Linked DNA regions of Ovis aries. The protein of the gene in region 1 binds, or shares a complex with, the protein of each later gene. Links are inferred from orthologs where the notes say so. Each region holds a gene or a part of one and is shown in the gene's direction. Other genes may lie near its edges.

What was found.
Region 2: the proteins of AP1M1 (region 1) and AP1S1 are in contact, whole or in part, in a crystal structure (PDB 1W63), measured with the Mus musculus proteins. The link is inferred for Ovis aries from reciprocal best matches to the Homo sapiens genes AP1M1 and AP1S1. Residues at the interface, in NP_031482.1 of Mus musculus: Lys12, Glu31, Asn186, Asn188, Val189, Leu190, Glu232, Glu234, Asn270, His272, Arg421; in NP_031483.1 of Mus musculus: Lys26, Lys30, Arg33, Glu34, Gln37, Lys43, Glu51, Trp52, Arg53, Asp54.

The regions. Positions count from the first base shown.
Region 1 is NC_056058.1:6,573,224-6,576,454, reverse strand, and holds the end of AP1M1 (AP-1 complex subunit mu-1), read left to right. Parts: intron 1-771; coding exon 772-897; intron 898-1,624; coding exon 1,625-1,700; intron 1,701-1,870; coding exon 1,871-1,893; 3' UTR 1,894-2,706; downstream 2,707-3,231. UniProt on the Homo sapiens protein: Subunit of clathrin-associated adaptor protein complex 1 that plays a role in protein sorting in the trans-Golgi network (TGN) and endosomes.
Region 2 is NC_056077.1:36,001,601-36,006,016, reverse strand, and holds the end of AP1S1 (AP-1 complex subunit sigma-1A), read left to right. Parts: intron 1-257; coding exon 258-366; intron 367-1,602; coding exon 1,603-1,941; 3' UTR 1,942-2,975; coding exon of another isoform or gene 2,976-3,023; 3' UTR 3,024-3,752; downstream 3,753-4,416. UniProt on the Homo sapiens protein: Subunit of clathrin-associated adaptor protein complex 1 that plays a role in protein sorting in the late-Golgi/trans-Golgi network (TGN) and/or endosomes.

The DNA.
Region 1 (3,231 bases):
GTCCTGGTGTGATGAGAGCTGCATTTCCTACTGCTCTCTGCAGTTCTGTGTTACTCACCAGGCACTGGGACAACCAGGCCAGGACTCCTGACCCCTCATGGCTGAGAGTTCAGTCGCTCAGTCGTGTCCGATTCTTTGCTACCCTGTGGACTGTAGCCTGCCAAGCTCCCCTGTCCATGGGATTTCCCAGGCAAGAATACTGGAGTGGGTGGCCGTTTCCTCCTCCAGGGGATCTTCCTGACCCAGGGATCGAACCAGCATCTCCTGCATTGGCAGGTGGATTCTTTACCACTGCACCAGCAGGGCAGCCATTCCTTCCCCCGCTACAAGTCCCAGCTCTGGAGTCCGCTTCCAGGGCCAGAGCCTTTCCCTTCCAGGGGGAGACCTAGGGCCAGCTCGTCAGTCCCAGGCAGCCCTGTCGCCCCGTGCCAGCGCTCGCTCTTCCTCTCCCTCCTTCCTCCCCAAGGCCTAGTGTTCTTCTTTTCCTCGACGCAACTAGGCTTCTGTGCCTGGGAACTTGTAGCAGTTTCTCTTCATCCTCAGAATTAGAGGATGAATTTTCCCTAGCGGGGCTGGTGTGGGCAGCCCAGGAGGCTTAGAGGATAAGGTAAGTGTGAGTGTGTTGCAGGAGCCGAGGCCCAGGGTGGCCACAGACCGTGCAGGAAGGGACTCGTTGGCCAGGCCCTCAGCCTGGCATTCTCCAGGGGCAGCTGTTGGATGGACCTGCCAGGGCCTCCGCCTGACCATCTCCTCTGTGGTCTGCTCCCGCAGGGCGGCAAGGAGTACCTGATGCGGGCCCACTTTGGCCTGCCCAGCGTGGAGGCAGAGGACAAGGAGGGCAAGCCCCCGATCAGCGTCAAGTTCGAGATCCCCTACTTCACTACCTCTGGCATCCAGGCACGTGCAACCAGGGCAGCCGGGGCCCCGGGGCAGACATGGACAGGCCCAGCGGGGCCTCTCAGGGGCCAGGCACCAGTCCAGGCTCAGAGGGTTGAAGGTGACAGACACGAGTGCAGCCAGTTAGCGAAGGGTGCTAGCTGACTCGTCCCAGCACTCCAAGCTGCTCCCCAGCCCTGCCCATCTCCGTGGGCGCCCTGCCCATCTCCGTGGCCGCCCTGCCCGTCTCCGTGGCCGCCCTGCCCGTCTCCGTGGGCGCCCTGCCCGTCTCCGTGGGCGCCCTGCCCGTCTCCGTGGGCGCCCTGCCCGTCTCCGTGGGCAGCCTGGCCCTGATGGAAAGAGGCCTGCAGTGGTCTGCTCACACCTGACCTGTGCTCCAGGCTCAGAGATGCATTCAGCCCCCAAAACTAATGTCCACACACTTGCCGCTGTGGGGTCCATTTTCCTGGCACCTCCACGGAAGCCCTGTATGGGGCAGAAAACCCTGGGATTGACCCCTTCTCTAGGAATCTGCTAGAGGGTCGTGCCTGCGAGTGCACATCTGGCTCTTGCCGCACCTTCTAGAAGCATCTCCACCCTCCCCCGGCCTGAGTGTGAAATAGACTAATGTGCTTCGCCCTCTCCCTCGCCCTCTTGGTCTCAGCCCAGCCCCAGGAGGAGTGGCTGGGTGGGCAGCCAGGAGTGGGGCCGCGTGTGCATGCTTAGGGCCCTGATGCCTGTGCCGCAGGTGCGTTACCTGAAGATCATCGAGAAGAGTGGCTACCAGGCCTTACCGTGGGTTCGCTACATCACTCAGAACGGAGGTGCGTGCGACCCGCCCTAGGGGCAGGGGGGGATTGCTGAAAAGGCCCCTGGTGGGCGTGCCTCTGTCCCCAGGGTGGTGCTCAGGGAGCAACCTCAGGGTCAGGGCAGGTGGGGCGGCCCCTCCTCCAGGGTCAGAGCAGACAATGGACGCCCCCCTCCCTCTTTGTAGATTACCAGCTCCGGACCCAGTGAGCAGCCGTGGTGGCCCACCCTCCCAGCCCGGAGGCTCCCGGTGGAAGCGCCTGCCCAGCCTGCTGGAGGGAGGGGCTCCCCTGGACCCTGGCGCCCCTCCAGGCTCCACCCAGGAGCCCCTCCTCCCAGGTGCACCTGCTCTGCCGCCGCCACTCTCACCTCCCAAGTCCCCTTTTCCCAGAAGAGGCTCATCTTCAAGAGGTCTTGTCTCTCAGTCCCTGAGTCAGTTTAGGGAGAAGGAAAGGCATCTTTCCCTCCAGAGGTCAAATACAGCCTTCTGTGCTGTTCCGCTCCCGGTCACAGAAAGAGTGGGAAGCACCGCCCGGGCCGCGCTCTGGCCAGGCTGGCAGGGCTGCCCTCGTGCTGCCACTCTGTTGGATGCCGTGGGTTTATCGAGCATTCCTAGATTTTGTCTCCGGCCGTCGCTGTGTATGTGATCCTCGCTGTCTGTGCCTCCCTCCCCCGTCCTGAAGCTCTCAGGCAGCACTTAGCGAGGACAGGCTTCCCCTTCCTCGCCCTCCTCCCCAGTGAGGCTGACACCGGTTTGCCCTCTCAGCACCTGGCGTTTCGACTAGAGGCTCCTGGTCTGGAGCTTTGAATAGAGACGCCTTCTCAGGGCCAGCCCGTGCCACATGATGCTGTCACTCAGCCACATCAGTGTTTGTCCCGCCAGGGGAAGAGGGGTCCAGCGCGGGCCCCCAGCCTCAGAGGGTGGGGGTCCCAGGCCATCCCCATCTGTGCTTGGACACCGCCGCCCCCAACCCTGTCCATGTTTGTGCCATGAGTACATTAAACTCCATCGGTTAAACATGCCTTCCGTCTGGTACAGCGTTGTGCTGACTCCTGGGTGCCCAGGAGAGGGGTAGGCGCACACCAACCTGAGTGGGGCACCAGTCCCTGGGGCCCCTATGTCCCCTGGGGAAGACGGGACCAGGCAATGAGCAAGCAGAGCCATTGCCCAGGGGCCTCCCAGAGGGGCTGCAGAGGGGAGGGCTCACGGGCAAACGTTTCCGTCCCGTCTGAGATGACCGTCACAGCCCTCGGCCCTCGGGCCACCAGCAGCCTGCTCCCCTCCGCAGCCCAGTGGGCTTCCTCAAGAGTGTGGTCCTGCTGCCAGCAGCATCAGTGTCCCCCCGCACGTGCAGGCTCACAGGCGCCCTCCTTTACCCGCCGTGGCAGTCTCTGGAGGTGGGGCCAGGAGACCGGCTAACAGGCTCTGCATGTGATTCATACGTGCCCTGGAGTCTGAGGACCGCGGCCTGGCGCCCCCTCCACAGGGGGGTCTCGGCAGGGCCGTGGGCAGAAGGCAGCTTGTCTGCCCACTGCAGTCACAGGCCT
Region 2 (4,416 bases), on another chromosome or scaffold:
TTTGTTGGCTCAGGTTTTTGCTGAGTCAAACTGAATGGGTCAGAGGGAAAGAGCTTGTTTCTTTGCCTGTGTTTATGAGAGGCACTAAGAGACACAGTGAGTGACGTTTTCTTACCCTGGAGCCACCCCGCCTGTGTCCAGTAAGGACACAGATCAGGAATGGGGGAAATGGGAGGTTGGGGCACAGAATGCCTGGGTCCCGAAGCAGCCCCGGCAGCACACCCAGCCATCCATCCCTCCGGTGTCCCCGTCCTCAGATACGCCAGCCTCTACTTCTGCTGTGCCATCGAGGGCCAAGACAATGAGCTCATCACGCTGGAGCTGATCCACCGATACGTGGAGCTCCTGGACAAATACTTTGGCAGCGTAAGTCTCTCCACCCACCCCAGTTTCCGCGCTCAGCAATCCTCTTTTTCTACCAGACTCGGACCCTTCCAGTCTCTGTTCTGACTCAGGAAAGGGGAAGTTGGAACAGTGAGAACAGTAATTAATCTCCCTCTTTAAGCCTTAAGCCTATTAGCCATGCGTCTTAATCAGGCCCCCATGGGAGAAGGGTGGGAACCAGAATCTGCCACTTAATCAATCCATCTACAGCTCAGCTCAAACTTCCCACACAAAGACAGAGGTCATGTTCAGATAGTATCAGTGGTTCCTAACCTTGACTTTGCTTTGGAGACTTCTGGATAGTTTTTTTTAAACAATAGCGATGCCTGGGAATCACCCCCAGAGATTCTGAATGAACTGATCTGGGCTACAGCCTGGGCACTGGCAGTGAGCTCATATCTTAGATGGGGAATAGTAATAACCATAACTTGTGTTTCACTTAACAGTTTACAAAGAGCTTTCAGGTTCTCCTGTTTGCTTCTCATTCCATGAGTAGGTGTTGGTGTCTCCATTTTTGGAAGAGAAAACGGACTCAAGAGAAGTTAAATGGCATGTCGAGTTAGCTGGTTTCCTTCCAGGCTTTCCTGGCTTGGTGATAAAGAATCCGCCTGCCAGTGCAATAGACGTGGGTTCGTTCTCTGGGTTGGAAAGATCCCCTGGAGAAAGAAATGGCAACCCACTCCAGTATTCTTGCCTGGGAAGTTGCATGGACAGAGGAGCCTGGCAGGCTGCAGTATATGAGGTCACAAAAGAGTCGGACACGACTTAGCGACTAAAACAAGAGTTAGCTGGTTAGTGTCAGAGTGTGGCCTAGAATTGAAGCCGTTTACTCTGTGACCCAGAGTCTCCTTCCCTGCCCTGTCACAGCACCTTGGGGTGCAGGGAGTGGGGTGGGGATGGGTGGGGAGGCCGACCCAACCTCTGGTAGGATTTGTGTCATAGATTTAGGGGAGAAGGCAACAAGAGTCAGGGTCAAGGGTAGACTTGAGCAACTAATATCTCATGATCACAGAGGAAGAGAAAAGGAGAAGGAAAAGCTGAACCCAGGATGAAAGCCTAGGGGTCAGGAGGACATAGACCTGGGGCAAGAACCCAAGGTGGAGAGTGGTCATGAAGGCCACGGAGCCAAGGTGGGGAAAGAGCTGGGGAGGCTGGGGCGCAGGCGAGGGGGGAGAACGCACCTTGACCCTCACCTCTGCCTCCTCCCCCGCCCCCCAGGTTTGCGAGCTGGACATCATCTTCAACTTTGAGAAGGCCTACTTCATCTTGGATGAGTTTCTGATGGGGGGAGACGTCCAGGACACTTCCAAGAAGAGTGTGCTGAAGGCCATCGAGCAGGCGGACCTACTGCAGGAGGTACGGGTCCGGGACAGTGAGGAGGAGGAAGAGGACCGTGGCCGAGGGCACCCTCCCTACCCTGGACCCTTCACCTGTGGACCCCAGCTGCCCTCTTCCCGCCGCTACCGAAACGGCCCCCCTTCCCTGTGGCGTTTGGCCCCCACGCTGCCAGGTTGGCCAGCTGGGCCTCAAGCCCTGACTGCTCAGGGTAGGAGGTAGTTGGGGGCCAGACAGCCCGCTTTTGTCCCATGCTTCTCTTGGTGTTTAGGGTTGCCCGGAGAATTGGAGAAGGGGCACACAATAGGTCATTCTTTTTCTTCCCTGGTGTCTTCCCTTTTTTAAAAACACACACACATACCCAAAGCCTCTGCTGCTGAGAAGCAGAGTTTTGCCCTGGGGATTTCAGGGTTTGGGTGGAGGGCACCTGGTCGTTGGTCCTCCCTTCTGTCCGACACCCCCGCCCTCACCCCGTTGCTGCCTGCCCCCTCTCTGCTGTGCCGCTGCTGAGCCTTGGTGCAAGGAGATGAGTCACCGGAACCTGCAGTGATGAGCAAGCCGGCCTGAGCCGGCTCTGAGGAGGGGGAGAGGGGGTGCTCATCCGTGCAGCCGGAGAGAGGGTAGAATCTGACTTGCTACCTCACTGGTCTAGTCCCCCATCTCACACAGACACACACAGACACACACACACACACACACACACACACACACACACACACATGTGCCCTGGCACTCGCACACCCACCCTGTTACTAGTGCTCTGCTCAGACCCTTATGACTCATCTCTCTGCAGTCTGGTCCACTTTCCTCGGGGACCTGACGCCAACTTCTTACTGCCTCCCTCGACTCTGGAGGGAAAAAACAAAAAGGTCCCACCCAACCATCTGCCACCTCCAGCCCTGGGAAAGCAGGTTTCCCAGCTCCCAAGCCCCCATTTTACTCCCTTCCCTTCAGCTAATAAGGTCGAGCCCCCTGCTCAACGAGCTCCCGGCTTTGGGTTCTCTGGGTGGTGGTGGACTCGGTTTGGTTGCCTCAGTTGGCTCTACAAGGAGGCCTCAGGAGGCTGGGCAGCTCCCCTGAAGGGTCCCCGGCCTTTCCAGCCTTGGGCTTACTTGGGCTTCTCTCTCCCCTCTCCCCTGTGTCTCTGTGTCCGCCCCCCTGCCCCGGTCTGCCCTCGTGATTGCTGCCCACCCACCCCCCTCAACCTCACCCCGTCTCTCCTGGTGTCTCCCCACCACCCTCTGTCTCTGCCTTAGGAGGATGAGTCGCCACGCAGTGTGCTGGAGGAGATGGGTCTGGCATAGCCCTCGCCCTGGGGCCGAGTGGAGATGTGGGGATCTGGTGGAGAGGTGGGGCATTGGTGGCCCTTTTCCTCCTGCTGGGACCCAGCTGCGCCTGCTCTGCTGCCTCACCTTTTTCTGCAGTGAGCTGTGGGCTCAGGACCCTCAAGCATTCCCTCCTTCTACCCCTACCTCCTGTTTCCCCTTTTCTCACTGAAGGCTTTAAGGAGCTAGGAGGCAGGAACATGTGACCAAGTCGGGGGTGCTATTTGGCTTTCATTCCCTGCCTTTGAAGAACCAGTGTCACCCCAAACTTCCCCCATCCTTATAACTGTAAATATATAAATATGTCAGGTTAAAGGGAAAAGGTTTTCAGGGCTCTTCTCTTCTCCCTGCCCCATAACCTACCTCCAGCCCTCCCCGCAGCCAGCCGGGGGCGGCCTCTCTGCCTGGGAGGGGGACTTCTGTGTCTCCAGAGGGAAGTCCTTTTCCCTCATCTGCCCCTCCCCTTCCTTCTTGGCTGCAGTGGGGCCTCTGTCCAGTGCCCGGGGAGGAACAGCATAGTTAATTTTTTTCTAACCTTGCTACTTTGAGGGAAGGGAGGGCTGGGGGGAGGGCAGGCTTTACAGGAGACTGGGCCCTGTCCCTCCTTCACTCTTTAAATTCTGGGTGAGGCAGGAGCTAAGGGGGTGGGGTGGGGAAAGTGTCTGATTCTTTTTCTTTCTCTGAAATAAAAGGAAAAGCATTTCTGGACTTTGGCTTGCTTAGGCTCTGTGAAGGAAGGCAGGGCTGCTGGAATCAGTGAGGACAGAAACAGAACCCTGCCCATTCCATTCCACTCTTCCCTGGAACTAGGATTGCCAGATTTAGGGGGGGGGGGGGAAGAGGACACCAAGTTCAATTTCTTATAATAATGAATAATGCCTTTTTAGGATAAGTGTGTCCTGTGCAGGGCTTCCCTGCTGGCTCAGTGGTGAAGAATCCGCCTGCCAATGCAGGAGACTCAGGTTCAATCCCTGAGTCAGGAAGATCCCCTGGAGAAGGGAATGGCTCCCCACTCCAGTATTCTTGCCTGGGAAACACCATGAACAGAGGATCCTGGCGGGCTACAGTCCACAGTTTTGCCAAAGAATCGCACATGGCTGAGGATGCATGTATATGCTTAGAAAAGGTTTGACAAGCGGCTAAAACCAGGATGTTTTTTTAGCTGCCAATACCTCCCCATAGGAAGTGTTGATCATGTGAAGTAGGTAGGACCAGGGAATTTAGGGAGCAGTTAAGGAAGGTGGGTGGGTAAGGTGGAGCAGGGGCGGTGGGGAGCCACCCATACTGCCTAGGTGGCCCTGAGATGGTTCAAAGATCTCAACTAGGTGGCCCAGAGCTGCGGTTCCTTATTCACTCTGCATCTCTGCCCAGG